Caenorhabditis elegans: one gene and its partner. The protein of the gene in region 1 purifies or fractionates together with the protein of each later gene. This does not show direct contact. Each region holds a gene or a part of one and is shown on either strand. Other genes may lie near its edges. The genes, in order: cyn-9 and mif-1.

Region 1 (16,284 bases):
TAGATGATTTTTTAGGCATTAAAATTTCAAAAGATCACAGTGCTCAGTACAAAGAATTACAGAATTTTAAATCGAAGAACTCAAAACATCACAAATGAAATTACGCGCAAACTTTGACAATACGAAATTATTTTTTATTTCAACAAAGCACATTGTCATGTGGCTCGACAAATGCTGAACAAATATTATACTTTTCCTTCCACTAAAAATTTAATTTAAAAATTGTTTCAAAGTCCCAAAAAGTGGAGAAAAGGTGCATCAAAATGCATTCCTAGAAGTTGTTAGAACAAATAAGGATTGAACTAAAAGATGCTCGGAGCAAATCTCAAGCTCTTTTCTGCAAATTGTTGTGAGCCCCTTCTGGACAGGAAATACCCTCCTTGTGGTCAGGAATGTCACGTATTAGTGAAAATTGAAGGTTTTTTGAAGTTAATTGAAAATATATATTGCTAGTCTTTTCAGTTTTGCCCGTAAAATCTGATGCATTTTTCCCTAATGCATAATATTTCCCGAGCAAATTTAAGAACAATTTCTTACAGAAAATTCAATTTCTACAATAAATTGAGAGACAAACTTTAAAAAAAAATGCTCGTGAAATTTGAAATTACAGGAATGTTGCGCACAAAATGCGTCATACGCGCGAACGATTTCTATTTTTGACAGTGAAATTTGAACGCCATGGAAGCTTCGGAGCAGAGTTTTGCGCGGAAAATCTGATGCATAATTATTTTGAAAAATGTGCGTAAGATGTGATGCATTCCGTCCAGAAATAGGTCCCAATGCATTAGATTTTACGGGCAAATTTTTTTGAAAAATTTATAGAAAATTTGTTTAAAAATAGATTTATTATAAAAAAGTTATTATTATAAAAAGTTAGACATTAAGAATAAAAAAAATGAAATGTGGCGTTTTACAAAAATATCCATAAAACATGGTGCATCGAATCCAAAAAAATGTCTAATGCGCTAGATTTACCGCGCAATTTTCAGAATTTTCTGGTAGAATAACTAAAAAAATGGCTTGTGAAACATGGTGCATCGAAAAATTGTTTGCAAAATATTCAATACACCATATTTAACGCGCAAATCTCAACGACAGTGTAGTAGTCACAAGACAAAATTACCAATAAAAACGATTAAAACGAACGTCAATTGAACTTTCTTTGTGTGCTCCCTCCTGAATCAGTGCAAACTTGGCAGATTTTAGAAAAGGGAGCACACGAGGGGGCAATTCACACAGTTGAGGCAAAATTTTCCGTGTTGAAACAGTGTTGAACGATTTATGTAACGAGAGAATTAGAAATGGCTGAGCAAATAGGCAATTCGGTTGTTGGGGGTCGCGATGGAAGAAGAGCTGCTGGTTGCCACATAAAGTACTGTAGACTGATGATCGAAAAGCGGAAGTTTTTTTTTGCTTTGTTAGTAGTTTGGAAAATTATTTCTTGAGGGTTAATGGGTAACTGGACATTCTGGAAATTGTTGGACAATGTTCTTTGTGAAAAAATGTATCCAAAAAAATTATAGATTTTTTTTTGAAAAAGACAAAACTTTTTTGAAGCCCATCGGACGACGAACGTTTAGATGCATACTATTAGGAAAATTTTTAAAACAGAAAAAAGTCTATCTGAAATTTTTTTTCGGGTTTTTTCCACTTTTTTTTTTTGAAAAATTAGAAAAAAATTAGTTAAAGTTGTTTCCAGCTTTAGAAAGCATAAAGAACTAATTTTATGCTTTAAGAAAATGTTAATTTTTCAATAATTTATTTTGGAGGGAAACCGGTTTGGAAAAATATTCCGATTTTTTCAAAAAGCTTCCATAATGTTTGTATACAAAATTTCAAAGTTGGAACTAGAAAATTGTGAAAAAAACGCACTGAAAACATTTTAGATCGACTTATTTTGCAGCTCAAAGTGCTCCTCGGCATCTGAATTTTTCTTAGTGGACTGCTACTATAAATTTTTTTTCTCAGGAACTGGAAGAAGTCAGAGAGAACTTCTATACTTTTTTCCTAGTATGCAATCCCAAATGAACCGTGAAAGCTACAAAGAATTCCAAAAATCTTGCAATTTCTCCTGAGAATATTAATCTGGCTGAAAAAACCTGTTTGTGTCTGATTTTGAGGTATATTAAAAATAAAAATATTAATAACAATCAAAAAGCGATCAAAAAAACATGGAAGTAGTAATTCACAGGTCTGGTCTGCAGAGATTGCTTAGGCACATAGGCAGGCACGTAGGCAAGTAAGTGGTGCAGATTCGAAAAAAAACGCTTATTTAACATAAAAGTAAAAGAACAAACAGTAAATTAAGTTGTTGAGCTAAAGTGCTATGGCATATTCTAATTCATGCAAAGTAGTTATTTTTCAGGGTGAGCCGCTGACTTTCAGATTGTTGTTTATAATAACTTTTTCTCAGAAAATACCAGAAAATACATCTGAATGTGACGTTTTTCAGGAAAAGAAGAACAAAAAAAATTCATTTAATAGACGTTCAGTTTTTCTTCTTTTTCAGTTAATTACTTTTGTGATCGGTTTCTCGCTGAAAAAATGTATTTAAAAATTATAATTTCTGCTACTTTCTGTCAGAAAACTATTCGCCTTTTTCTGTCTGCTGCATAAAAAATTAACGTGCGAATTCGTCAATCTCATGGGAAAGGAAAAAATAAAGACAAAAAGGGAATAAATGTTGATTCCGCATTCTGATGTGAAGAGAAAAAGAAGTACTTATCTCGTTTTGTTTTAAGTGTGGAATGACGGATAGGGAAGTCAAGCTTTTTCAGAAAATTTTTGAACTTGAAAATGCATCTGCGCTCTATTGCAGTTTTCTTGATCTTTTAGAATTGTGTGTTAAATGTGGTGCCTTGAAAGTCGCTGAACCAGATTATTGTGCAAATTTATGTGGTGTCAGAGTGTCCCATTTCGGTTTGGTCTACGTAGATCTACAAAAAATGCAGGAGCAGACTTCTCAACTGATTTCGCATGGTTAAGAACGTGTTGTTGTCACATTTGCGAAAAATTCCCGCACTTTTTGTAGATCAAACCGTAATAGGACTCTCTGACACCACATGATATTTCTAATTTAAAAAAAGAAGGTGGCAGGCCGGCAGTTAAGATAACTTTTGAGTAAAAAATAGTTCTACTCCGCAAAAAAAACCCAAAAACCATAGATCTTTGTTACTTCCCTCTTGAGATGTTTAATATTATAATGACGTTAAACAAAAAATACATGAAGAATAACAGGGGTCGACGCACAAATTAGGTTAGTCATATTGCTTGTTAAAAGAAAGCATCACGACGAAAAGCATATTGAAATATCAGAAAAACAGGCAAAAACCGGAAGTTTAAAAATTACGTCAAAGCAAGTGTGCTCTACTGTTCATCACTAGGTAGAAAATATCTCGGAGCATTCTCACAGGGGCAAATGAATGCTCATTTTGTCATGGAAATCTTGAGCAAGAAAAAACCATTAAGAATCCACAAACGTTACGTTTATTACGTCCCAATTTGAATATAGACTCGTCTTGAAACGAAAAAAAAACGCATAAAATTGAAAGACATTAGACTTTATTGCAATTCTGTCATTTCCGTTGGATATCTTTTTAAATTTATTTTAAATTTTATGTATTTTAATGGGAAAATTTGAAAAGAGATTTTTGAGCAAAGTTTTGCAGAAGATATGGTGCATTGAGCCGATGAATAATTTTGCGAAAAAATAATTTTTGAGTTTTTGAATTTTGCGTTAAGCTATTTTTATACGCGGAATTTAAATTTCACGATAATTTTTCAACAAAAATTTTAATTTGGAACCAAAACTTGTTGGAAAATATCCGAATTTTTAAATTCGCGCCAAATTGTTCAAAAAATAAATTCTATTTTTTAATTTTGCACATCTATTTAATCTAATCTAATGGTAATCTAGATATCTATGTAAAAATATAAATTTAAATTTCGCGCCTAAGATTTTGGGAAAAAAAATTGAAAATTGAATTTTTGGAAAAATAGTCAAAGTAGGAATTTGGAAGGAAATAGTGCCAAAAATTATTTGATCAATTTTTAAAGGTAATAAATTAATTTTTGAACAGGTCTTGAAGCGAAAATAAAGCCCATTTAGACTCCACCCATAATATCTCACTTCAGAAATTTATTTTTCAAAAAGTTCTGAAAAAAATCAGTGGGAGGCTTGACGTGTTTGTTCCCAAAAAAAAATGTTTCTTGTCCACATTCATTTTTGATGAGTTCCAATGGACAAAAACAAAGAAATTCTGGAATTAAATTTCATCGCTTCAATAGTTTTCTAAAATATTCTAATTCAGAATTTAAAAAAATGTAACACAAACATTTGGTTCAAAAATTGAAAAGAGCCAATCTTCTGGACTCTAAAATGATCACACATCTTCCGGTGGAATCTTCTTTTAATCGTGCAAATTTAAATGTTGAAAGAGAGACAGAAAAGGGAGAGTTAATGTAATTTTATGCGACACACTCGGAACATTCTGGAAAACGTTTTCCAATTTTGAAGAGTGATGGTAAAACATAAATTTTAAGGTTTCAGCTAGATGATAGCAAAACAATTTGAACTGCGAAGTTATGTAAAAAATTGTATTCTACATTTTTGTAGTTGCCAAATTTTTGATATCATTAAAGATGGACGAGATATACCGTATATTTTCTATTAGTGCTGCATCTCCAGTAGTACTGCAGTCTCTAATAGTGCTGCATTCAAAAAGGGTCCAAAAAATAGTGCTGCAGTCTCTATTAGTGCTGCACCCCATTTTCTATTGAAAGAGTCACTTGACTGTTTCGATATTTTTGGGTATTTTTTTTGTATATTTTTGATGATTTTTTGATAATTTACGAAATTAATTGAATTATTGGGTCTTTTTGTTACAAAAGTTCGCAATTTTTATGAATTTCTGCTTAAAAAAAAGAGCTTTTGTGACTAAAAACTAGTGATCTATAATTGAAAATAGCCGTTCGAAAATTAATGCTGCAGTCTCCAGTAGTACTGCAGTCTCTAATAGTGCTTCATTTAAAAAGGGCCTGGAAATTAGTGCTACATGCAGCACTAATAGAGAATATACGGTATAAGGAAAAATCGGGGGAAATTTTTTTTAAATTTTTTGGAGGAGGGGCGGTGTCAAATGTGTATTTTTGTCAAAACTGAAATTCTTTTTTAGAACTATACTACTGCAAAAATGATATTTAATTATGTTTTTAGTTTATTTGAAATATAATTTTTTAAATTTTTTTTAAATTCAGCTCTTAAAAAAATCTCAAAGTTTCGCGTATGGCTAACATCTTAATGAATTTTTTATTAGTTTTTAAAAAGTATGTTACCTTTTAAAATAACAATCTTGAAACACAAAGTCCATGCAAAAAACATAAAAAATCTGCGAGTGAAATTGAGAAGAAAATTAGATTTCAAAAGCATAAACGGATATAAATTCAGAGACCACTTGTTTAATTTTATTTTTGCAATTGGAGTTCTCACAATCTGGTTTATTACTGGAAATTAGATCGGGTCAGGTGCAAATTTGGAGTACTGTAGTCCTTGTGAAAAGAAGGAAAATGGGATTATTTAGTTCAAGGAAAGGATTTTTAAATTCTGTTTTAATTCTGTTTTCAAGCCAAGAAAACACAGCGTTCGTATTACCCAGACGAAAAATACGACACCCGGTCTCGACAAGACAAAATTGTTAAATGAAAAAAGGTTTGCGCCTTTAAAGAGTACTGTAGTTCCAGTTTGAATAGATTTTTATTTAAGAAAGTATATTTGTTTATTGAAAACCAAGCAGAATAAAACAATCAAAAATACATTTTAAAAAAATTTTAAAAATCGATAAGAATTCGGCAGCAACAAAAGAAATTTGGAGAGTACAGTATTCTTTACAGGCGCACATCCCTTTCTAGATATGTATAACACAATTTTGTCGTGTCGAGACCGACCATATTTTTCGTGCAAAAATCGCAAAATTTCGGGTCTGCATAATAATTAAAAGCGTAAGAAACATTACATATCCTTGAAAAAAATAACTAGTTTTACATGAAAAATTCATTTTTCACTATTTTGAGATTAATTGAAGTTCGCAACAACAAAAAATCCACCCACCTTGCCATATTTCTCAAGTGAAACACCAAATGATGCACCAAGAGCTGTTCGAGAGAAAAAAAAAACAGGAAAAAGGCGCGAGAGCCGGATGTCAACAATGAGATTATTGCGCCAAGAAGGTGCTATCGAATCAGAAAAAGCTGAAAAAAACTGCTGAAAAACACTCAAGAATGATATAGAGAAACAAGTCTTGAGGGGAAAGAAGAGGAACCTTGATAGTTCAGTCTGAAAAAAAAACAAGTGCTCGGGGGAGGATTCGAGGAAAAGCGGGAGTCTAGAGAGCAATGGACTCAGTTTTGAGATTTAATTGAGAGGCTTCCACTTTAATTCCTGAAAACGAGGCAAAAAAATTGATTTTTATTCGATTTCATGCACGCTTTTTCAGACATTTGTCGTGAAATGCGTTTTTTTTTTGCTAAAACTGATGTAAGAATATTTCGATCGTGTCGAGACCAATAGTCGCAACACTTGCCGAAAAAGGCCGCCTACTTCTCATGTGTTTTGTTAGTTTAATCCGATTTTCAATATTATTTTTTGTGCTTTGATTTCAGATATTTCTAATATTACATTAGCGACTCAAACAACTAATCTAAGCGCAAAAGCGCTCCAAGGCAAAATGAAAACGCTCCTCCCACAACAGCTGGGTCTCGTTAGGTATTGGCGGCAAAACCGTAAATTCAGACTTTTTCAATTATTTTCACCGATTTCAAAGCCAAAGTGAATTATTGAAAATTAATGTAGAAAAAGTTCTCTTTTCAATAATTTTTGTATGAAAAACGGGAATAAATGTTCAAAAATGCTAGAAAACCGGTGAAAACCATTGAAAAAATTCAAACTAACGACTTTACCGCCAATACCCAACGAGACCCAAATTACGGTAGCCGGAGCATTTTCATTTGTCCGTGGAGCGCGTCTGCACTTTGTTTCAGTTTTCTGCGTCTCTACAATATGTATAATATCTATAGTTTTTTATGTCACAGAAAGAGGATTTTGGAACATAGCCGTGAAAATAATGGTGGCCGAGTTTTTTTTCTTCTCGCGGCCATTCCTAGGCTTTAGGCCACACGGCCTCCACCACGAGAAATGCGCAGAGAGAGCGCAGAGAAAAAGGCGGTCTCTGCGTCTCTCACCTCCACAGCATGGCGAGAGTGCGCGCTCAACCACCTCACTTAGAAGGAGTCGGGAAGAAAGGAAAATGCATATTTCTGAAAAGAAACAATTGGAACGGATGCAGAGTACTGTCCTCTACAGTCTGGCATAAATTTCACAGAATAGTTTTGTCATTGAAATAAGTGAAGAGAGTGAACATAATATTACACATTCCCCTCTAAAACGAGCAAGTTTAAGATTTTTTCCCAAATTTTTTTTGTAAAATGTATTCAATATATTCCCAATTAATGAGTTAATACAAAAAAACCCCAATAAATAAGTTATGAGAGAAACTTTTTTTGACATCAAACATTTACAGCTCAAAATTTCAGCACTTTCCGGAAGCTAGTGACCGTAAAATGAAAGATTTCAAAAATCGGAAAAAATACGATTGTTCTAATTTTTAATACGCACATTTTGACATATCACACATGAAAATTGGTCAATGTTGAAAATATGTTTTTTGATCTAGAAGATTGACTACAGTACTAAAATGACCAAATTTTCAGGTTTTTCGCAATTTTCAGGAAATTCTTGGCTTGGACTGAAAAATCGGAAAAAATACGATTGTAATAATTTTTAATACGCACAAATTGACATATCACACATAAAAATTGGTCAATGTTGAAAATATGTTTTTTGATCTAGAAGGTTGGGTGGCGACTACAGTACCCGCTCTACTGCGCCCTCACACTTTGGATGCTCCTATCTCCGCTTCTATGAAAGTTACAAAAAAGTTGTCAACTAACAAAATGTTCAGTTTGACATTGTGAACATTTTTTCTGTTGACAATATTTTTCTAACTAGTAAGACAGATAATATAGACCCCAAAAGTCGTACTTATGAGAAAATCAGAGATCAGTTCATAACTCAAAAAATAAAGACTTTAGAAGAAAGTAGTCAACTGCAAATGTGTTAGATATCTTATATAGAGTATTTTCCCAATAAAAAAACCAATTTTAATGTTTAGGATTTTTTGATATGGCCGGTTTAAGATGATCACTTTTCAAAAGTCAAAATCTCCATTATTTTTGTAGATAGAAATGTAGTTTTTGCTGGTAAATGTTGTTTTTTATCTGCTTAACATTTTCTCAGTTGAAAATATTTTTGTATCTTCAGCGAGGACAGAGATTTGATGGTTTTAAGAGAGGGTACTGTAACTGGGACTTCATTCATCAAATCATAGCTGTATCTTTTTAGTGGAACGAGATATCAAAAAATTGTCAACTAAGAAATGTTCACCTATTTGTGATGTTCATTTTGTCAGTTCACCGCTAGTTTCTATCTCCAACGCGAAAAAAGTTGTAGCTGTTCAAAGTCCATAAAGTACATACACTTCACCACGAGAAGAGCGAGAATCAACCCGAAGCCACAGTCGTACATATTTTCTTTATTTAAACCGTTCAAATACACTCATCGTATCATATTTAACAATTTTCAATCTAAAAAAGTGCTCTTCTGTCCATAATTCTTCTAATTCCATCTAATTCTTGCTAAAAACCACTGAAAAACAGCTCGTATTAACTATTTATTGTAAGTTCCGCCTTCCCATTTTATCAACTTCACTATTTCTGTGAAAAAAATTCAAAATTTCGTTCAAAAATAGCGATTCTAGCTCAATTTCATGAATATCTGTTGAAAGCGGCGGCGAGGCAAGGTGGTCGTCCGCAAACGCGCAAACAAAAAGCGAGAGAGTGTGCGCATTTCTCGTGGTGGAGGCCGTGAGGCCAAGAATAACGCTAGAAATTTCCAGAAAACGTACCTGAAAACAGAAAAAAACCTTTTTTTTAGTTTTCTAAACTCAAAAAATATTTTTTGTAAGAAAGTTGAAAAAAAAAGTTCAACCAATTTTCGAAAAAAATAAAGAAACTCCAAACAAAACCAGTGGGAGTACCGGAATCAAATCAAGCATAACGATTTTTTAGTCTTTGTTCTCTCTTTTCGAAGCTTCTCGAGTAGGAGGAGTTGTCTCTGAGCCCCCGACAAAAGAATATGCCAGGTTCTCACAAATTATTCAACGAGTGAGGTGAGAGAGAGAGAGATCAAAGGTATCCGTGTCAGGTACAAATCTGAGAAGAGAAACCGGAAGACTGCCACAAGAAATGCGTGTTTTCCGTTGTTTCTTCTTCTATTTATAAAAATAATAAACTAAAAAATTTGTATTGCACCGAGCTGGAAATAAAAACAACGAATTAATTAAATTAATTTTAAAAAAAAGATTTAAACGAGATCTTCTTCTGGATGTTTGTGGCTGTCGTGAACCCATTTCTGAAACAAAAATTCAATTTAAAAATTATAATTATTCAGATTTAAAATACCGTCGGCGCATTTCTTCTCCAGTGCTCCGGAGTCGCAGATCTTTCGCGTCGGAAGCGTACTCCTCCACGCCCACGTACAGTAATTCCGTTTTCATCTCTGCGAGGTTGGCTTCGCGAAGAATCTCCTCGATTTTCTTTCTGAAAAAATCTAGTTTAAGAAATTAAGAAATTTAACTTTAAAATAGTTTCAAAAAATCGGGAATTAATTTTGGTGGAAAATGGAGAAATGACAGGAAGATGCTAAAAATTAGATTTCTCCAATCAAGTAAACTTTTTTTTTTGCAAATTTTTTCCATTAAAAATCGAAAAATCAGCGAAATTCAATTCTTGATCGATTGATTCGAAAATATTTGGTTCTTTTCGTGGCGAGACCTGGAACCGAATTTTTCATTACAAAATAAACCTTATAGTCGCGATTCTTCTCATGAGATCTAGATCTTGATCTTCTCGATCGATACTCTCTTCTCTTATCATTTCTCATTTCATGCTTCTTCTCATTGTCATCATCACGATAGAGCCAAGATTTCGGGCATTTCGGGATCTCATTGTCCCTTGCGTTATTATTTTTCTCTTCGAGAGCAGCGGCGAGCTCTTCATCTGTCTTCAATGGTTTCTTCTTTTTCACGAGTTCTCCACAATTGGAGATCAAAACTTTTGCGAGTGGTTTCGATTTATCATCAACCGCAAGATTGTCGATGTAATCTACAACGTTTTGTCCTTTGACAACCTGGAATTCAATTTATTTTAACATTAAAGTATAAAAGTATCGTAATTTCAACAGATTTTGACTTAAAGGCGCACGGCTTTAAAGAGATGGGTCTCGGCGTGCTAAAAATTTATAGTAGTTGGTTTTTTTGTTCATTTTTCTGTTATTTTGAAATCGTTTTAAATCGGTTTTCCCTGTAAAAATGATTTTATGAACAAAACATTACTTTTTATTTTAAAACTGAAAAACAATTTTTAACAAAGTGAAAACAGACGCAAAACTTCAAAAATGACTACCATAAACTGTCTTTCGCGCCGAGACCCATCTGAATAAATCTCTGCGCCTTTATGTTAGAATCTCGTGAAATCATGATTTTATAATTATAAAATTAATATATTCTTTAAAATCCATTATGCACCTCTCCAAAAACAACATGTTTTCCATTGCAATGTGGAGCTGCAGCCGTTGTGATGAAAAATTGAGAAGAATTTGAATTTGGTCCTTTATTGGCCATTGACAACAAATAGGGCCTTGAGTGCTTTAATTTGAACTTTTCATCGTCAAAGTATCGTCCGTAGATCGAGAATCCTCCTCTACCATCTCCTTCTGTGATGTCTCCTCCCTAAATCGTCAATTTTTCAAAAATTTCAGCTAAAAACCGCCGGACCTGGATCATAAACTTCTTTACAATTCTATGAAATTCGTTTTGTTTGTAATGAAGCCGTGCTTTATTATTTGGAGTCATTCCGACTTCTCCTGTGCACAATGCTCGAAAGTTTTCACATGTTTTAGGTGCTGAAAAATAATTGATTTTTTTTAAATTAATTTTCTGGGCAGATTTCTAACCATCTTCGACAAAAAGTCGTATTTCAATTCTTCCAATCAGATTCTCATCGACTGAAATATCTAGGAACACTCTTTTTTCAGCGGCCATTCGCAGCCTGAAAATGGTTTTGGTTTCGATTCGAAATTTTAAATTCCGAAATAAAGAAATATAATTTCACAGAAGCCTCAACGAAACAAAAAACATTCTCCGGGATTCAATTTTTAGGGTTTTATATATATAATATATACGGATGGAAACAAAAAAAAACGAGTAATCACAATTCAACGCCGTGACTTCAAACAATAAATAACATATATATTATTAATTTAAAGCTCTTCGTGATCCTGAGATGCGGTTTCAGATTCGGAAGCAGATCCAGCATACTTGTTGACAAATTCTTCGAACTTCTCGAGGTTTCTGTCTCCATCATAGTCGACTGGGGTAGAAGATCCGGCTGGCCACAGCTTCAGGGTTGGGAAAGAGTTGACCTTGACGTCGGCAAGCTGAAAATGGAAATAATAATTATGAATATTGATACTTTCAAAATTCTTACCTCGTTGAGAGTAGCATCAAGCTTTGCAATGACAACATTTGGGTTGGACTCGTACTTCTCAGCAAGCTCATCCCAAACTGGAACCAGTTGCTTGCAATGTCCGCACCATGGGGCGTAGAATTTGACGAAGACAGTCTTGGTTTCATCAAGGGCAATTTCGTTGAAGTTGGAGGCGACGAGAACCTTAACTGGGAGTGCATTCCAATCTTCTGGAAGATCTTGAGCCTTCAAGTCTTGAGCAGACTTTCCTTCCAAATATGAGTTGGTGAAAGCTTCGAAATCTTCTCCTTCTTGTGGCTTGAACTTCTCAACTTGATCGGCAAGGCTGACAATTCTGTTGGCTGGGGTGTTCTTGGCATCGACTCCGAGGAACTCGAGAATTCTTGCGTTCTCTTCAACATCAACGTCGAGAAGAACAAAGACGATCTTAGCACGGAACTTCTTAGCGACCTCAGTGAACTTGGCAATAGTCTCATCGAAAGAAGAGTCTGACTTGCGGATGATCAAAAAGTGGAACTTTTTGAGGTCTCCTCCGACGATTTCTTGAGCAGATTCGTGGGTGAACTCGGTCACGGCAGAGAGCTTGTAAGCGTGGAGCCATTGCTTAAGAGCGATGGTGTTGGTGATTTCAGCTTCAGCAATTGTGCTAGTCTCGCTGTCGTCTCCATCAGTGCGGATAAGAGCGACTCCATCTTCATTCAAAGATGCGGCAGCAGCAACCTCAGCAGAACCGGCAACGGCGAAGAATGCGTCATCGACAGAATCAGCAACTTCGTTGTAGATGGTAGCAGCATCAGATTTCGCGTCCTGAAAAATAAATAAATTAAATAGGTTGTACTTTTTATGTAAAAAAATACCTTGAAGTATCCAAGAACAACAACTCTGGTCTTTCCCTTCAATTCCTCGAGTTGCTCAACTGACTCAACAGTGGTAACAGTTGGTCCACTCTTCTTCTTGACCCAATCGACAATTTGAGCGGTGGCGCGTCCTCCGGTGTATTTCGTTGGCTTTCCACTCTTGAAGTAGAGGATAGTTGGATATCCACGGACCTCGAACTTGGATGCAAGAGCTTGGTTTTCGGTGGCGTCAACCTTGGCGAGCTTGATATCGGATCCTTCCTCCTTCAGCAAATCGGCGGCTTCGTCGTACTTTGGAGCAAGAGACTTGCAATGTACACACCATGGAGCATAGAATTTGACTAGAACAAACTCATTTCCATTGATAGTTTCTTCGAAATTGCTCTGAAAACAGTTTTTTAGAAGATAATGATCAGAATAAATGTTATACTTCAGTGAGAACAAGCACGTTTTCGCTGTCAGCAACAACTGCTCCGATTGATGCGACCAGGAGGAAGATAAAGGACACTGACAGTGACATAATTACCTGAAAATTTAAAAAAATAGTAATAGAAAATTTGAGGAAGTTATCATTGAAGAGAAAAGAGGTATAGACAACGATAAGTGTGCAAACAATACGTTAGCCATTACTTTGCGATCAAAAAAGTAGGGTATGAGTATTGACAAACGCAGTCAATTTTTCTTTTAAAAAATCCTCGTCGTTCACAACCTGCTAGGAAGAGTGCGAGCGACGAGAAGAGAAGGAGAATAAGCGCACGTTGTAAAACAGAGTAACGAGAGAAAGAGAAGAGACCGTGAACGCCCCGGCAGAGACAACGAGGACCGCGAAACTGCAAGACGAATGGACAGTGCAGTATTGACACGTCAGCATACGCGTGTACGGGAGATGTCCACGTGGACGTCACCGTGGCGACCTTTATGACTTATTGAGATGAGAGTTCGCGCATTTAATGGAAAATTAATTGTGTTCTAAACCTTAAAACAGTGAGAAAATGAACAAAACACATCGAACTGAAAGTTTGTGCAACTACAATGCTAAAGGAACGTCGACGGCCCGGAAATGAGAGTCTATTCGAATATAATTATGCTTATCTTCAACTTAAAATTATTCTGAACCCAAAAAATTTATTCGGAATGGGCAAGTTTATCAAAAAAGTTGTTTTTGGAACTAAAATTAGCTCAAAAAATGACTTTAAAAACTGGGTCAAATAATCACTCTTTTAAAGACGCACCGGATTTAAAGATATGGTCTCGAAGCGCTGTATACAGTGTAGTCCGAGTGGACAATCAAATACTTGTTTCAATGATTTCTAATTTCATTTTTTTTTGGAAATTCTTTTTTCTTTCGTGATTTTGTCACATACATATTACATTATATTCAGGTTTCCGCTATGAAAATCCCACTAATCCTGTTGCTGGTTGTTTCAATTCAATGTTTCTATGTGAGAAACCAGACTGAAGACTCGATGGCAGAAGGATTACGTTCGAAGGTGGGCTCAAAATGAGGATATATCAAAACACATAAATATTAAAGGATAATAGTATCGAATTGTTCGGTCAACGCGTGGAGGTGCCGTCGTGGTTGAATACGGCAGCTGAGAAAACAAGAGGAATGTTTGACTCTGTGACAGGTCTTTTCGGAAAGAGTACAGTAAGTATATAACATCGACGGTGGGAGGGGTCATATTGACACAACCGTTTTTAGGCCACGTCGCGCAGATCGTCGGACGGCTTGATGACAAATCTGAAGAAGGATGAGGCGACAAGGATTTGGTTTGCAGTCTATCTCAACATCATTCTCGTTGCTCTGATTTACGTTTTCATCACGATTAAGCTGGTAAAAAATGATTACACTAAAGATTAAAGCTAGATAATTGAATTTTTAGGCACTCATGTCACTGAGCGAAGGAAAAACTGAGCGCAAGAAACGGAACACCTTCAGTTCACACGTTGCCTACGATTCCCCCGACTATAATGTCCCATTGACCAGTATTGCAACAAGAGAGATTCCAAGAGGTCCCGTTCAAGATGAAGATTTCGAGATGGCTTTGGAAGTCCGAGAGGATGAGCAAATCGCCATTCCGAACCCTGATCTCCGCAGTGATTTATCCACGGAATTTGATGATAATCACTAGTTCTAATTCATGTTCAAAATTTTTGTAAATAGCATCACTAATCTATTCCAATTTGACAGGTTCCTATTGCACGAGTATTTCTTCATAAACACGGTTATTCGTTTTTTTTTCCTTTTTAGAAACACAAATCTGAAGAACATGAATTGCTTGACCTTGGTATTGGCGGCGATAACCTAGAAAGTGGGACAAGTTATTTCTTGCTGTCCACGTATCTTTGGATAAGGAAGATCATCAATGTTTCGTAACCTGTAAAACTAAGAGAAGAGAAAGACAAATATATATCAACTAATCTAAAAAGTTGCAGTCAGCAAGATGAGGAAAAAAATAAAATATATAAAGAAGTTGAATATCTAGAGGTTCTCAATATTTTTGTCAGAAAGTTTTTTTCTCATTCTCAAAATAGCATTGAATATTTTCTTATTAATATTTTTGCTTTAAAATAATAATATTAACAGCGTGATAGTTTTTTGGAACACGAATATCACATGCATGCGCATTTCGCAAGACTTCCATTCTCTGCGTCTCTCTCCTTCTGACTCATTTCTTCTCTTTAAAATCGAAAAATATTGTTCTCATCGACCCCAAATGTTTAAAGCGTTCTCATCGATAATGCAAAGTCTACAGTTCAAAACCGATGTTCCAGTGATAATGTGAGTTTTTTCTTAATTAAAATATCAATTTTTCACCTAGAATTATTTCAGAGATGCAGAAACTGTGCCGAACGAATGTTTCTCGCCAATTTTCCGAAGGCTGGACAAAAAATCACTTCTAAACTGCCAATTGGCTTGCCATCGATTCAATGATTTGATATCAAGTGACTCGTTTTGGATTGAATATGCTCGAATTTTAAATATATCAAATGTTCTTCCATCTTTGGAGTGGAGAAGAGCAGCGACACAGAAGAAGTTTGTTGGAAATGAAGACAATGAAATTGACACTTCAAGTTTTAATTTTAATATTAAAAAAATAGTAGGTTATCGCATTTTATAGTAATAAAATTACAAAGTTTTACTTCAGGTTCTGTCTGGAAGAGGCTACTCACCAATCACTCCGCTTTTCATTTCTCATTTTGAAAATGCACGTGACAACACAATAAGTGGAACTCTCCGTTCAGATGATTTTTCAATCAGAGCGAATGGCAGTGGGTATGTCAATACTTTGTTCTTAAAATAATCAATATTTACAATTTCAGAATCCACATGGAAAGAGATGGAGGAAACGGTTGTGAACCACATCCGGATGTTTCCAAGTGCTTCGTATTTTCATTCACAGAGAGCTCAATCAGTGTTTTCATCGATTTGGTGAACTCTGGAATTGACCCATGGATCTTGGATCACGTTCGCCCGAGAATTAGAATTACACAGAAAGTCAATCATCGTAATGATTGTGCAGCCAGGCTCTCATTTGCTGCTCAGTTGAACTATCACGAGACTCAGTGGATTGAAAGATTTGGCCATGTACAAACTATGAGCAACACTGATCATAAAAGATATAAATCTGTAAATAAGGAATGGGCTCAATGGACTGGTCAACCTTGGGAAGATTGGACAATTGAGTTTGACGATTACCCGTCTGGAATTCGACATTTAACTATTCTGAATGAAGGTGAAGATAGACAATTTTGGAGAGGATTC
Region 2 (16,284 bases), 8.1 Mb from region 1:
TCAAGAAACTTTAAAAATTAATTTTTTTTTGTTTTAATTTTAATTTTCCATTCAAAAACCTCCTTTTCTCCGGGTCTTCCACGATGAATTTCCTCTTTTTATGACAAATTTTTTTTCTTCATTTTTTTGGTTTTTAAAAGGTTTCAAGTCCTTGAGTAATACCTCCAACACTTCAGATTTGGTAAATTTCGTGAGAAATTAGAATTTTTTTTTGAAAAATTCTTGAAAAAATCCAAATTTCAGACAGAAAATCGGCCGAGAATGCGATTAAAGTGAAGAGCAAAGAGCAAATTTATATGTGAGTTTTTTTTTTCTAACTTTTTTAATGATTTGAATCTTTGAAAATTATGAGAAAAAATGCGAAAAATGTGAAAAACCAATAAAAATTTAAGAAATTTTTTTTTTCGAATTTTTTATCGATTTTTGAAAAATATCAGTGATTTTCTAAATTTTTTATCGGATTTTTGAATAGAATTTAGAAAAGTCATTAATAAATTGAAAAACCGTTGAAAATTTAAAAAAAAATTTGACACAAATTTAAAAATTTACAATCGCTGAAAATTTTGAAAATCATTAAAAATTTTTTTAAAAAATCGTCGAAAATGTTGAAATTATTGAAAAAATTATTACTTTCGGTAAATCGTGAAAAATTTTTTTTTTTAATCGGGGAAAATTAGAAAAATTGAGGAAAATTTAGAAAATCGTTGAAATTTTGGAGAAATCGTAAAAAGTTTGGAAAAACCGCCAAAAAATGTAGAAAATCGTTGAGAGTTTTTTGATAGAAAAAAAATTTTTTTCATCCTAATTTATTTTGGATTTTTGAAAAAATCACTAAAAATTTTCAAAAACCGTCGAAATTTTTTAATATTTGTTTTAAAAAAAAATTGTAAAAAATTTAGAGAAATCGCCGAAAATTTTGAAAAATCATTTTTCAAAAATTTCATTGATTTTTTTCTAAATTTTAATTATTTTGCACACATTTTTCCGCAAAATTATTTATTTTCAGTTAATTTCAATGTTTCATCGAATTTTTTTTGAAATAAATTTTTTCCACGAAATTGAGATACAAAAAATCTAGAAAAATTCCAAAAAAGTGAAAACTCCATTTTTAAACAGCAAAACCAATCAGCGATTCGCTCCGCCCACTTTCCAGCCAATCAAACGAAGTGGGCGGAGCTCTCGGAGACGCTGATTGGTCGGGGAGTTCAAAATTCCCTAATTTCACAAAAAAAAAACCAGTTTTAGGAATACTAATTCTCTGAAAATCCACACACACATTTTTTTGCAGAAAACTATATGCTGGCGACAAGTGCGATCGCGATCTTCCTAATCGCGTGGAGTGCGGTATTTCTGATAGATTATGTGCTCCGAGTCGCCCATTTCGAGCCATATCTCCGTCTTTCCCATCGATTCGGAATCGAAGTTTCACCGTTTCAGCTTCGATTCTACGTCACACCCGCTCCAAAAGATACACTTTTAAGTGAAAAACCCACCGATATTGTTGTTGATGAGGAGAAGAAGCGGGGTACGGATATATATATATATACCGACAAATTAGCGGAAATGTTTAAATTCCCGCGTAAAAATTAAATTTTTAAAATTTAAATTCCGAAAGTTTTAAATTTTCCCAAAAAAAATCAAAGTTTCCGAAACTATTTTTTAAGAAATCAAATATTCCGAAAATAGAAAATAGGAAATTTCGGCATTTATTAATTTTTAAAAATATTTCCTAAAATTTTCAAATTACTTAAAATTTCAATTTTTGTTGGGAAAATTTTTGAAAGTTTAGAAATTTATTGCTGTTTTCGGAATATTTGATTTCTTAAAAAATAGTTTCGGAAATTTTGATTTTTTTGGGAAAATTTAAAACTTTCGGAATTTAAATTTTAAAAATTTAATTTTTACGCGGGAATTTAAACATTTCCGCTAATTTGTCGGTATATATATTAGGTCTCCAAATAAGTTCCGGGCCAAAAATCATAACTTTGTTCGCTGCGTATCGATTTTTATGAAACTTTGGGAATTAATGTTATCAACCATGATCTTTCATTAGTCATGATCTTTCATTAGTCATGATCTTACAATAGTCACAAAATTTTTTGACCGTCCGAAGTGCCCAAACTCAGAGCCAATTTTTTCAGGCATTTTCAGATCTCGCTTCTTTTCAGGTTTCAATTGAGGTCTGTGTGCGGATTTTGCTAAGTTTAGTACACAATGTAAGAAAACAAAAAAAGTTTTGGAAAAAATCCGTCCAAAAAAAATTTTTTTCGTCGGTCGTCAATAAATCTTCAAACAAATTTTTGTCGAAAATTTTTGACTTTTTATACAAAAATGATGTAACCAAGTGCAAACTATTTTTACACATACAAAACATTTCAATTTAGTGCGTCACACTGAAATAATAGCAGAAAACATATATTTTTCGAAATATTTTTGAGTTTTTGGAGTATTTCTCGAGATCCAAATTTCATACTCAAATTTGTATAAAAAATCAAGAATTTTCGACAAAAATTTTTTTGAAAATTTGTTGACGACCGACGAAAAAAATTTTTTTGGACGGATTTTTTCCAAAACTTTTTTTGTTTTCTTACATTGTGTACTAAACTTAGCAAAATCCGCACACAGACCTCAATTGAAACCTGAAAAAAAGCGAGATCTGAAAATGCCTGAAAAAATTGGCTCTGAGTTTGGGCACTTCGGACGGTCAAAAAATTTTGTGACTATTGTCAAATGAAAGATCATGGTTGATAACATTAATTCCCAAAGTTTCATAAAAATCGATACGCAGCGAACAAAGTTATGATTTTTGGCCCGGAACTTATTTGGAGACCTAATATATATACCGACAAATTTGCGGAAATTTTTCAAATTCCCGCGTAAAAATTAAATTTTTAAAATTTGAATTCCGAAAGTTTTAAATTTTTAATTTTCCCAAAAAAATCAAAATTTCCGAAACTATTTTTTAAGAAATCAAATATTCCGAAAACAGCAATAAATTTCTAAATTTTCAAAAATTTTCCCAACAAAAATTGAAATTTTAAGTAATTTGAAAATTTTAGGCAAAATATTTTTAAAAATTAATAAATGCCGAAGTTTCCGTAAAAATTTTGTAAAATTCCAAAAGTTGCGTGGGAGCTATTTGCAATTTTTCTATAAAAAAGTCAACAAAAATCTGTAAAAAATTCCAACGTTTGTCCATTTTCTATATTTTTTTTCGATTTTTGATGTTCCGAAATTTCAAAAAAAAAATCCTAAATTTTTGTATTTTTTTCTTCTTTTTAAAAATAGTAATGGAAAAAGATTTTTGTTAATTTTTAGAGCACTTGTTTCGATTTTTCAGATTTTTCGGAAAATAGAACACTTGAAAACTTCAACGAAAATATCAACGAGTATACAAAATTCTGAGAGAATACGTATTGCACAACATATTTGACGCGCAAAATATCTCGTAGCGAAAACTACAGTAATTCTTCACTGAAGCGCTTGTGTCGATTTACGGGATCTCGATTTTTTTGTATTTTTTTTGCAAAAAAAAATTTATCAATAGAATTTTTTTAATGAGTAAGCGTTTTCTGTTTGAAAAATAATTTTTTTTTTCGAAAAAAAATTTCAAAAATCGAGATCCCGTAAATCGACACAGGTGCTACAGTAGTCTCATTTAAAGGATTACTGTAGTTTTCTTTTCGCTACGAGATATTTTGCGCGTCAAATATATTGTGTAATACGCATTCTCAGAATTTTGTGTTCCCTGAATATGTTTCTAATGTTTTTTTTTGCCATCAACATTACCAAAATTTGAGAAAATGTGGAATTTTGTTAATTTTTAGAACTTTTTTTTTCGATTTTCCGGAAAATATTATCTCTTGAAATTTCGCATAGTTGAGAGGGAATAAATAAATAAATGAAATCAATAAATCAATAAAAACCGCAAAATAGAACATTTTTCGAAGCCCCCGAAATGTCAAAAACCAACATTTCACGGGGTGTCAAAGTGTCTCATTTCGGTTTGATCTACGTTGATCTACAAAAAAATGCGGGAGAAGAGACTGATTTCGCATGGTTAAGAACGTGCTGACGTCACAGGTTTTTGGGCGACGAAAAATTCCCGCATTTTTTGTAGATCAAACCGTAATGAAACAGCTTGGCACCACGTGGTATACCACCTAACAACGAGACCCGAATTACTACACGAATTCGCGTCGAGACCCACTATCGTAAACTGAGCGAAAATTTTCAGATTTTTATGAAAAATGACATTAAACACAGTTTTTTGGGGGGGGGAAAAATCCCGCATTTTTTGTAGAACAAAGCGAAATGCACTGCAACTTTTTCCTCACGAGGGACGAGGAAAAGTGGTTTCTAGGCCATGGCCGAGGGGCCGACAAGTTTCAGCGGCCATTTATCTTGCTTTGTTTTCCGCCTGTTTTCTTTCGTTTTTTACCGAATTTTTTCGTTTTTTCTTAATAAAACTGATAAATAAATATTTTTTGCAGATGCTAAAACATTTTCCAAGTGGAAAAATTATGTATTCAGTGGGCAAGCAGCGGTGAAAGTGGGCATTGTAATATGATGGATTACGGGAATACAAAACCTAAACTTTTCTGAAACATGATAAATATGCTGCTTAAATGCTGAGACTACCTGATTTTCATAACGAGACCGCTGAAAAAGTTTTGAGATTTTCAAAATTCAACTTTTTGTGCGAAAACCTCGACTTTTTCACTAAAAAATTTGAATTTTGAAAATCTCAAAACTTTTTCAGCGGTCTCGTTATGAAAATCAAGTAATTTCAACATCTAAGCGGTATATTTATCATGTTTGGAAAAAAAGTTTAGGTTTTGTATTCCCGTAATCCATCATATTGCATTGACCACTTTCCCCGCTGCTTGCCCACTGAATACATAATTTTTCCACTTGGAAAATGTTTTAGCATCTGCAAAAAATATTTATTTATCAGTTTTAATAAGAAAAAACGGCAAAAGGCTGTGAAAAACGAAAGAAAACAAGCGGAAAACAAAGCAAGATAAAAGGCCGCTGAAACTTGTCGGCCCCTCGGCCATGGCCTAGAAACCACTTTTCCTCGTCTCTCGTGAGGAAAAAGTTGCAGTAAAATGAGACACCACGTGACATTTTTTTTTGCAGATATATTTTTCGAAGAATCACGTCGCCTGAAATGCCGAATCCTCGTGATCCGAATGTGGTTCGCGTGCGGTGTCATTGCTTCCATCATCTGTCTCTTCGGAATGACATTCTACATGTCACATTTATTAATCAAAGATGTCGGACAATGGATGACAACGGCTCGACCAAAAGTTCAAGCTTATCGTGGAATGGAGTATCGATCGATGCACCATGTTCTGACTTCATTGAGCCCCGCCGTGGCACCACCACCTGCGAAGACGGTTCGGGAGATTCAGATCTATGAAGAATTTATATTAAATTGAACGAAAGTTTTTCAGACAACAGCAGCAAATTCGGATCAAATTCATAACCCGGTGATTATGGAGGATACCGAATACGATATGATTGAGGATGGGCAGAAATCTGAAGATCGGGGATTAGTTCCGATAATTCCTGGATTCAACCTTCCGTGGGGACATATTCCGATTTTTATGCTCGTTTTGATAGTTGCAGCGGTTTTTCATGAGGTTCGGGATAACCTGAGCATTTAAAAATTTTTTAAAAAAATTTCAAAATGTTTCTAAAGGCCTTATTAATGCTCCCGATACCGATTATCAATGTGAAAAAATTCAAAAAAAAAAAATTCCATTAATTTTTTGGAAATTCGAAAATCGATTTTTTTTAATCGATTTTTTTTTTCGATTTTTTAAACCTAGTTATGCCGCCGTTTTGCCGGTTTGCCGAACATCAATTTTGCCGGAAGTTTTTAGAGGGATTTTCGAAAAGATTTTTCCTGTTTTTTTTTTTTAGATATATCCCAGCGAAAAAAATGTGCACAACCACAATTTTGTGAAAATTTTCGGCATTTGCCGTATTTCAGGCAAAATTGGAAATTTGCCGGTTTTTCGATTTGCCGGAAATTTCAATTCCGGCAATTTGCCAGAAGTTTCAATTCCGGCAAATTGCTGGAAATATCAATTCTGGCAATTTCCCGGTTTGCCGGAAATTTCAATTTCGGCAATTTTACGATTCGCCGGAAATTTCAATTCCGGCAATTTGCCGATTTGCCGGAAGTTTTTAATTCCGGCAATTTGCCGATTTGCCGGAAATGTTCAATTCCGGCAATTTGCCGATTTGCCGTAAATCTCAATTCCGGCAATTTGCCGATTTGCCGTAAATCTCAATTCCGGCAATTTCCCTTTTTTAATTCCGACGATTTGCCGGAAATTTTGATTTTCGGCAAATTGCCGATTTGCCAGAAATTTCACTTCCGGCAATTTACCGATTTGCCGGAAATTTCGATTCCGACGATTTGCCGGGAATTTTGATTTTCGGCAAATTGCCGATTTGCCGGGAATTTTGATTTTCGGCAAATTGCCGATTTGCCTGGAATTTTGATTTTCGGCAAATTGCCGATTTGCCGGAAGTTTCAATTCTGGCAATTTGCCGATTTGCCGGAAATTCAAATTCTGGCACTTTACCAGAAATTTCAATTCCGCCGATTTGGCCAAAAAAATCGAAATATTTTGCAGCTCGGTCATGCGTGGGCGGCCACATCAAACGGTGTCACAGTCAACGGATTCGGCATCTTCATCCTTGCAGTATATCCGGGTGCCTTCACAGACATTGAAGCCGTCACTCTGAAACGTGCCACCACATTCCGTAGACTTCAGATCTTCGGCGCCGGAATCTGGCACAATCTCCTACTGGCTCTTCTCGCAATGGCCATGTTTCATGCGTCTCCAGTCATTCTGTCACCAGTGTTGGCGAACGGTTACGGCGTGTCCGTACGGGGTGTCGATGTTCGTTCAGGCCTATCCAATCCGCGAACGGGCCTTGTCGCTGGAGACGTTGTGAAAAGTGTCGATGAGTGTCGTGTGGAGACTGTTGCCGACTGGTGGAGGTGTATTCGAACGTCGAAAAATATGAATAACGGGAGATGTGTTGATCGGGAATCTGTCGAGGCGGCTACGGCGTTTAATGTGAATTTTTCGTTTATTTGAATGTTTTCGCCCTAAATTGCTCCAATTTACCGCAGTATAACAGAGAAAAAACGGAGAAAATTGGTGAAATTTGAACAATTTTAGTGCGAAATAGCCAAGAAATGGGCGGAGCTTAATTCGGGAATTTTGGATCCGCGGAAACGAAAATTCCATCATTTTTAGCTGAGCTTTTTTCTTTAAAAACTAACAACAAATTGTGTTTTTACGACTAAAAAGATGGAATTTTCGTTCCCGTGGATCCGAATTCCCAAACTTAAGCCCCGCCCAATTCTTGACTATTGCGAAATAGCCGGGCGGGGCTTAATTCGGGATTTTGGTTCCGCGAGAACGAAAATTCCAACAAAAATTTCAGTCAAAAAATGTATAAACAAAATTTTATTTTTTAATTTTTTTTTAAATTCAGCTTAAAAATGATGGAATTTTCGTTCCTGCGGATCCGAATTTCCGAATTTCCGAATTAAGCCCCGCCCAATTATTGGCTATTTTGTACCAATTTACCCCTTTTTTCTTTGTCATGTTTTTTATATTGCGGTACTGTTGAAATTAAATGATCGATCCTTGAATTTTGCGGCGCCGCACAGAAAAAGAGGCGGAGCCTAATTTCGCAACTCTGCGGCACGGTTTTCCACTTTTTTCGTAGATTTTTTTTTCAATAAAATTGAGATTTTTCTATTTTTTTCGAATCTTTTCGAATATTTTGAGAGTAACATTTTCATTCGAAAAAATATAATAATAAAACAAGAAAAATCTACGGAAAACCGTGCCGCAGGGTTGCGAAATTACGCTCCGCCTCTTTTCTATGCGACGCTGCTTTGAGCTACAAAAGTTTTAAATATTGTTAAAATTTAATGATCTATCTCTGAATTTTGCAGCAAAAAAGGCGGCGCCGCACGGAAAAAGGGGCGGAGCCTAATTTCGCAACCCTGTCGCACAGTTTTTCCACTTTTTTTCCAATAAAGTTGAGATTTTTCTTTTTTCGAATATTTTGAGAATAACATTCTCATTGGAAAGAAAAAATGACACAAAAAATCGAAACTTTATTGGAAACAATCTACGAAAAACCGTGCCGCAGGATTGTAAAATTACGCTCCGCCTCTTTTTCTGCGCGACGCTGCATTTTTTTGCAAAATTCAAGGATCTATCATCAACAGCACCGCAATATAAATTTTAAAAAAGTATGCAAATGCAAAATAGCCAAGAATTGGGCGGTGCTTATTTCGGGAATTCGAATCCGCGGGAATTTTTTTCAAATTTTTTTTTTCAAAAACTAAAAAAATTTCTTTTATAGACTTAAAAAGAAAGGAATTTTCGTTTCCGCTTATCCAAATTCCCGAATTAAGCTCCGCCCATTTCTTGGCTATTTTGGTCCAAATTTTTTGAAACAGCCGATTTTCAGCACCGCACGGAAGCCGACGAAATTCTGTGCTGTGACGAGTTTAACGTGACCACCGCTCACGTCTGTTTCCAGCGAGAAGAGAAAGCCAGCAAGTTGTCGGTCGACACACAGACACGAGCTCCACAGCTCAATGCTCTTCTCGGGTTAGAAGGCGGCGGCGGCGGCCGAGATGATGCCTTACCTTACGGTGGTGTTGCACAGCCTGAAGAGAAGAAGATCACAAAGTATAGCTGCCTTCATGCGAGATATGTGGTTCAGCAGGCGCTCTGTAACGCCAGTGAGCCGTGTAAAACGGAGGAAACCCCAGCAGCACATCAGGAGAAGATCTGTGTCTATCCGGCACTACACAATGGAACGCGGCTTGTGAAAATTGAGCTCGCGAATCGAAATAAGCCTATTCTTTTTGTGGGGCAGCTCAATGAGGTACAGAAGCCTTTTTTTTTTGGTTTTTTTCCGTGGTTTCAGGCTGTCCCAAATTGGCACTCCCAATACAGTTTGATCTACAAAAAATGCGGGAATTTTTGCCCCGGGAAATTGTGAAAATTTTGCGGAGCTTCGTGTATTCGTGTGTACACCTCCTGGAAAAGTGTGAATTAGTTTTTTGCGCCGACTTTATAGGTTTCTGTCTAAAATGCTTGGCCAATAAATGGGCGGGGCTTAATTTGGGAATTCGGATCCGCGGGAACGAAAATTCCATCATTTTTAGTCGAGCTTTTGTTTATACATTTTAAGATTTAAAAATATTATGGAATTTTTATTTCTGAGTATCCAAATTCCCGAGTTAAGCTCCGCCCATTTCTTGGCTATTTCGCATTGGAGGACAAAAACTGTAGAATTTTGCGAAAAACTAATTGACAGTCGTCTACGAGGAGTACACGATGTTTTATAAAATCGAAAAACTAAAATTTTTCGATTTTTCAGAAAATCGATAATTTTCGGTTTTCGGTTATTCGATTTTATGACAGCCTTGGCCGGTATGCCGCAGGTTTGCAAAACGACGCTCCGCCTCGTTTTCTGTGCGACACCTATTACCGAAACACAGAATTCTGAGAAAGCGTATTGCACATCACATTTGACGCGCAAAATATCTCGTAGCGAAAAGAAAACTACAGTAACCCTGTAAATGACTACTGTAGCCGTTTGTGTCGATTTACGGAAATTAGTTATTAATCGATAAAATTATTCAAACAACAACACACACACACACACAAAAATGACCACAAATTAATAGTAAATAAAATTGAATTTCGCTAACAAAATTTCATTTCGAAAAACGAGCCCGTAAACACTGCAACTTTTTTCGAACGAGGGCTGAGAAAAAATGCGAAAAATCGGTGTTTGCACACAATTTACGACATTTTACGACATTTTCTACTTGCTTTGTTTTCATGTGTTTTTCACCGATTTTCCCGTGTTTTCTTATAAAAACTGATAAATACATATTTTTTGTTAATGCTAAAACAATTTCCAGATGAAAAAATTGTGAATTCAGTCGGCAAGTAGCGGTAAAAGTGGTCAATGTAATATGATGGATTACGGGAATACAAAACCCAAACTTTTCCCCAAACATGATACATATGATGCTTAGATGCTAAAAGTACCTGATTTTCATAACGAGACCGCTGAAAAAGTTTTGAGATTTTCAAAATTCAACTTTTTTGGTAAAAAAGTCGAGATTTTGGCACAAAATGTTGAATTTTGAAAATCTAAAAACTTTTTTAGCTGTCTCGTTATGAAAATCAGGTACTTTCAGCATCTTAAAAGCATATATATCATGTTTCAGAAAAAGTTTGGGTTTTGTATAGCCGTAATCCATCATATTACATTGCCCACTTTCACTGCTACTTGCCGGCTGAATTCACAATTTTTTCACTTGGAAATTGTTTTAGCATCTGCAAAAAATATTTATTTATTTGTTTTGATAAGAAAAAACGGAAAAAATCGGTGCAAAACAAAAGAAAACACGCGGAAAACAAAGCAAGATAAATGGCCGCTGAAATTTGTCGGGGACTCGGCCATGGCCTAGAAACCTTTTTGCCTCGTCCCTCGTTCGAAAAAAGTTGCAGTGTAAAACGACACAAGTGCTACAGTAGTCATTTAAAGGATTACTGTAGTTTTCTTTTCGCCACGAGATATTTTGCGCGTCAAATATGTTGTGCAATATGCATTCTCGGAATTTTGTGTTCCCATAATAACAGGTTGACCGTCAAATCCAAAAATTTCTTTAAAAATCTAAAATTTCGCAAAAAATTTTTGCAGATGCTCGAAATGGTGTCAATATCGTCGTTCACTCCGCGCTTCACGTTCGCCAGCATCTCGTGGCTCGAACATTTTGAGCTAACCGCCAAATACCTGTTCACACTGTCTCTGGCACTTGGCCTATTCAATGCAATGCCTGTGTATGCTCTTGATGGGCAATTCATAGTTCATACGCTATTGAAGAGTTCCGGCTTGAGCGTTAGGTAAATTTTGCAACAAAAAAAACCCGAAAAATTGATGCGAAACAGCCAATAAATGGGCGGAGCTTAATTCGCGGAATTTGGATCCGCGAAAACGAAAATTCCAACATTTTTAGTTGAGTTTTTTGTTCAAAAACTGAGAGAAAAAATCTGTTGGCACGTTTTCAGACTAAAAATGGGAATTTTTGGAATTTTTGTTCCCACGGAACCGAATTCCCGAATAAAAAGCCCCACCTATTTCTTGGTTATTATTTATTATTTGTCTCATATTGCGGTACTGTTGGAATTAAATGCTCGATCCCTGAATTTTGCAGGAAAAAAAGCGACGCCGCACAGAAAAAGAGGCGGAGCCTAATTTCGCAATTCTGCGGCACGGTTTTCCACGTTTTTCGTAGATTTTCGTAGATTTTTTCAATAAAATTGAGATTTTTCTCATTTCAGCCTCTTTTTTTCGATTATTTTGAGAATAACTTTTCATTCGAAAAAATATAAGAAAAGAAGAAAAATCGAAACTTTATTTGAGAAAATCTACGAAAAACCGTGCCGCAGGGTTGCGAATTTATGCCCCGCCTCTTTTTCTGTGCGACAGTGTTTTTTTTTTGTTGCAAAATCCACAGATCTTATTTCAACAGCACCGCAATATTAAGAAAAAAAATAGTTAAAGCCAATAATTGGGCGGAGTTTAATTTCGGGAATCCAGATCCGCGAGAACGAAAATTCCATAATTTTTAGTTGAGCTTTTTTCAAAAACTAAGCACTAATTTTGTTGACACGTTTTCAGACTAAAAATGTGATTTTTTTTTGGAATTTTTGTTCCCACGGATCCGAGTTCCCGAATAAAGCCCCGCCCATTTCTTGGCTTTTTAATCTTTTTTATTCTCTCTTTTTCAACTTAAACCCATAAATTATTCCAGACGCCGTGAACTATTCCAGTACCTGATTCTAACATTTGGCACCGGTGTGCTCATCCTTAATATTGTCATTGGTTTCGTCAAATTAGCCATAAACTAGTATTGAATTATTAAAAAAAAAATTTTTTTTTTCCCCTCTTACGTGTCGTCGTTTATTGCTTCTTCTACCCGCCCGATCTGTCATTTTTATACTGATTTTTTCTCTCCGATTTCCATGTGATAATCTTTTTTCTTTTTGCTTCGAAAAATCCAAAATTGTCTTAAATTTAGGCATACCACAAAAGAAAAACGAATCGAGAAAGAATGAAAAATCCAAGGCGATTTTTCAAAATCCCTCCAAATTGAGAACTGCACGACCAATCAGGCGGAGTGGGCGGAGTTGTCATTTTGGAGGGAATTTTAAAAATAGCGTTTTCGTTGGATTTTTCCTTCGATTTTTTTTTTGTTTTTCTGAATTTGAGACAATTTTTATGCTTTTTCCAAGCAAAATTCCCATTGACACTACTCCAACACTTCAAAATTTCGAAAAAAAAAACCCAAAAAATTGCTAAAATCTGAAATTTCACCAATTTTCCTTTCTGCAGCGGTTGGAATATGGTTTTTATCAATTTTTCACCCTTTATCGCGTTTATCTCGTGCTAGTTCGTTGAATTAGGTAGGCATAGGCAGGCGCCTAGCGACCTAAAATGTGCCTGTACCAACTATTTAATTCCAGATAGGGGGGGAAATTTTCATAAAAGCTCTATTTCAGTGCGTGGTGTACAAAAAATGCGGGAGATCAACTGATTTCGCAATGGTTGTTGACGTCACATTTTTTGGGCGAAAAATTCCCGCATTTTTTGTAGATCAAACCGTAATGGGACATCATTTCAGATTTTAGCGAATTTTTGGCTATTTTTTTCCCAAAATTTTGAGCCCTTTCAAATTTCTTCGCAAAATTTCTATTTACCACTTTGTTCCTGTATCCCGGGTTCTTCTTCTTTACCAGAAGATGTTTTTTTTTTGTTTTTAAAACAATTCCTTCACTTTTATCTGGTAGTGCACATAGGTTTAAAGCCTCATAATTTGAAATTAATTTTGTATTTTTTTCAAATTTTTATTCTTTTTCCCTACACAATTTTGCACTGTTGAAATGAACTACAAATTCCTAATTTTTTGAATTTTTGCTGTTGAATTAGTATTTTTTCTGCTTCTATTTTTTTATTGATTTCTACATTAACGGCGTGGAGTGTGAGGGAATAAGTACATAAGTAGGTGTGAAAAAATGGAATTTAGGCGAAGGTTTGACCGTTGTAGGCGATGTCGGCGGCGCCGAGGTTGACGAATTCGATGTAGAGGCTGAAATTTGAATTGTCGAATCACACAGGAGGCACCACGGGAAGATGTGGATCTGGTAGCATGATCTTCAAAATTTACGATTTTGGCGCCAAAAAATACGGTACCAGGGGTCTCGACACGACAAATTATTAAAAAACTTAAATTCCGGGAAGGTGCGCGCCTTAAAAGAGTACTGTAAATTTACTTTTGGAATTTTTTTTTTTTTGATAAAAAATGTACCCGTGAATTTTGCAAAAAGCACCTGAAAAAACGGAAAAATTGATACAAAACAATAAATGGGTGTGGGGGGATTTTTTCAATTCGGGGGATTTTGATCCGTGGAAAAAAATTCCAGAGTTAAGCCCCCCCAGTTCTTGGTTTTAAATTTTCAAAAATTTTGCAGTACTGTTGAAATTAAATGATCGATCAGTGAATCTTGCAAAAAAAGAACAGCGTCGCACAGAAAAATAGGCGGAGCGTAATTTTGCAAACCTGCGGTACGGAATTGGGCGGGGCTTCATTCGGGAATTCGCATCGCGGAAAAGAAATTCATCATTCTTTTACTAAAAAACTTTGAACTAGGTCGTAAAACCGTGCGGCAGGGTTGCGAAACCACGCCCCGCCTCTTTTTCTGTGCGGCGCTGCTTTTCCGCAACTTTTTCGCAATGTAACAAAACATAGGAGGACCGGGAACCGTAATTTTAACGCTGAAAATCGAAAAATTTCGAATGACAGATCGCCTTCTCGCAGATCCCTTTTCCGTGGTGGGGCCTCCTTTCTGTGGGGCCTCCGTACCGATTTCCTGGAATCCCAAGATGTTTCTCAATAATCGGGAAAACGACGGCGGAAATCGCATTATTCTGCTTAGCGCTTCCAACTCCGCCGATCGATTTCAACACGGCAAAGCCTGCTGGCTCAGTGGTCCCAGCATACAGGATTCCCTGATCCTCGTGGAAGTGAATACACATGTACTGGAATTATGTGTTCTCGTTGTAGATTATTCAGATTTTCAGTTGATACCTGCTCCGGCTTGTTGAGAAGCTTTCCGAGAACAGTTGACAACTCTTTCAAGATCTCATTCTGCTTCTCGGCAGGGACCTTTACGTTGACATTGATGGAGAAAACTGGCATTTTCTGGAAAATTTCCTTGTATTTAGGGAATTTAGAGAGAAAAATCGGAGAAAGAGCTGAATTTTGGCTCCAAATGACCCTAAATGGCCAGATTTCGCCAAGTTTTCCTTGTCGCAGCTCTTTCTATTAAAATATGCGATATACTGTATTCCAGCTGCTGCGAAATGAAAAAATGTGGAAATTTTCGGTTTTTCCCCCCGAAATTTGGTTGTTTTGGGGGGTATTTCTCATTAAAAATGAGAAATTAGATAAGAATAAAAACAAAAAAACAAAGTGCTGAGAGTACGGTTGACAATGTACGCAAACACTTTTGCGTACAAAGCGCCCTCCCCGAATTGTCGACCGTACCTCGTCAGATGATTCGTCCGGAAATGTTTTTTTGCAATAAATGTTTTTTTGCAACGTTTCGGTTTTGGTTTTGGGGGGATTTTTGGTTTTAAAATTCAATTATTTAATAGAAAATGGGAATTTCTGATTGAAAATCGGGGAAATTTACCGAAAAATCCTTTGAAAGTCAGTTTTTTTTGGGTTCTGGCCCAAAAATTCAATTAATTGCTTGTTTTTCCCAATTAAGCATCGATTTTAAAATAATCTAATAATTCCATGGCTTTTTTTTTGATTATTGCAATGAAATATTCAAAAAATAAATTGTGTTGTCCCAAAAACCGCCAATGACGCGGAAATTCATTTTAATTGTTTTTTTTTTTAATTTTTTTATCCAATTATTTTCCAGTGTTCGCTTATTTTCTCGTTTCCATTACAATAAATCGAACAAAAACCACACAAATTCGATATTTTCATGTCATTTTTCTCTTCAAAATTATCGATTTTCACGGACTTTGTTGACATGGTGGTCTTCTCGCTTCTCCTGGCCGGCATTATCATCTTTCATCGGACGATTTCTTGCATGTTTTCGTGGTTTTTTGCGATTTTTAGCGGGTATTACGGCATATAATCGATAATTTGTTTCTCCAACGGGCTTGTTTTGCATCTTTTATTCTCTGCGCTTCCCTTTCTGCTGCACATTGACGCACACTTACTCGAGTTTTTCCTCATTCAAAACTTTTTTTTCGTCCTCTTTTTTTTCAATTCTTCCGGGATTTGTGCTTTAAATTATGGAAAATGGAGGGTTTTTTCTTCAATTTCGCGAAAATTCAGTGGTTTTCCTGCTAAAATTGTCCTATTTTCGGTGAAATCTGACTTGAAACGTTTTTTTGTGAGATTTTCAGGCCTTTTCCGCAAAAAATTGGGAATTAATGTGCAATTATTGATTTTAGGCAGATTTCTCCACTAAAAAATCATTTTCAGACTTCAAATTTTTGCCTAAAAGTCAATAATTTCACATTTAATTTTGATTTTTTCCGGAAAAATGTCTGAAAATCTTATAGAATCGAATTTTTTTAGCGGAAACACGCGAAAGATTTGAATTTAGGCTTTTCAGGCGTTTTTTCGGCAAAAAATGCACAGAAGTATGAAATTATCGATTTTTAGGTGATTTTCGAGGTTTCAGCGTAAAAAATGCGCTGAAACTTCAATATTGGCCTAAAAATCGGTAATTTCGCATAGTTTTGTGTATTTTTTCGCGGTAAAAACCCAGAAAACCCGATTTTTGCAGGAAAAACGCTCCATTTTCCATAATTTCGAACAAAAAACCCATTCATTTCAAATTTTAAACATTTATTTTTGCAGTACAATGGCTGAAAAGCGAAAACTGTTAGCAGAAATTGACAAATGCTTCAAAAAGGTGAGTTTATTCGAAGGAATCGCTCAAATAAACGAATTTCGGTGCCTAATTTCATCTAGAATCTCCAATTTTCCAACTTTTTCGTGTCTGAAATCAACTTTTTTTGAAATTATCTTCCTTTATTGCATATTTTGACAGCTTTTCCCATATTATTTCGTCGATTCATGTACATTTAAAGGTGGTATACCGAAATCTGAGAACT

What was found.
Region 2: the proteins of cyn-9 (region 1) and mif-1 fractionate together in Caenorhabditis elegans (co-fractionation; one large-scale study listed by BioGRID). This does not show direct contact.

The regions. Positions count from the first base shown.
Region 1 is NC_003281.10:3,688,421-3,704,704, forward strand, and holds cyn-9 (Peptidyl-prolyl cis-trans isomerase 9), read right to left. Parts: upstream 11,221-16,284; 5' UTR 11,214-11,220; coding exon 11,126-11,213; intron 11,075-11,125; coding exon 10,947-11,074; intron 10,902-10,946; coding exon 10,698-10,901; intron 10,301-10,697; coding exon 9,977-10,300; intron 9,712-9,976; coding exon 9,574-9,711; intron 9,524-9,573; coding exon 9,476-9,523; 3' UTR 9,401-9,475; downstream 1-9,400. Other genes in the region: pdi-1 (Protein disulfide-isomerase 1), read right to left, coding at 11,432-11,608, 11,659-12,465, 12,516-12,899, 12,946-13,035; C14B1.2 (Conserved plasma membrane protein), read left to right, coding at 13,907-14,005, 14,050-14,166, 14,221-14,352, 14,402-14,650; C14B1.3 (F-box domain-containing protein), read left to right, coding at 15,236-15,300, 15,352-15,619, 15,668-15,795, 15,843-16,284. UniProt on the Caenorhabditis elegans protein: PPIases accelerate the folding of proteins. It catalyzes the cis-trans isomerization of proline imidic peptide bonds in oligopeptides. Thought to function as a catalyst in the folding and modification of cuticle collagens.
Region 2 is NC_003281.10:11,846,209-11,862,492, reverse strand, and holds mif-1 (L-dopachrome isomerase), read right to left. Parts: upstream 14,342-16,284; 5' UTR 14,339-14,341; coding exon 14,228-14,338; intron 14,179-14,227; coding exon 14,003-14,178; intron 13,229-14,002; coding exon 13,162-13,228; 3' UTR 12,971-13,161; downstream 1-12,970. Other genes in the region: taf-12 (Transcription initiation factor TFIID subunit 12), read left to right, coding at 1-14; Y56A3A.2 (Membrane-bound transcription factor site-2 protease), read left to right, coding at 1,297-1,525, 5,143-5,402, 5,460-5,648, 6,654-7,103, 8,521-8,943, 10,780-10,982, 11,894-11,990; ntl-3 (Not3 domain-containing protein), read left to right, coding at 16,032-16,082.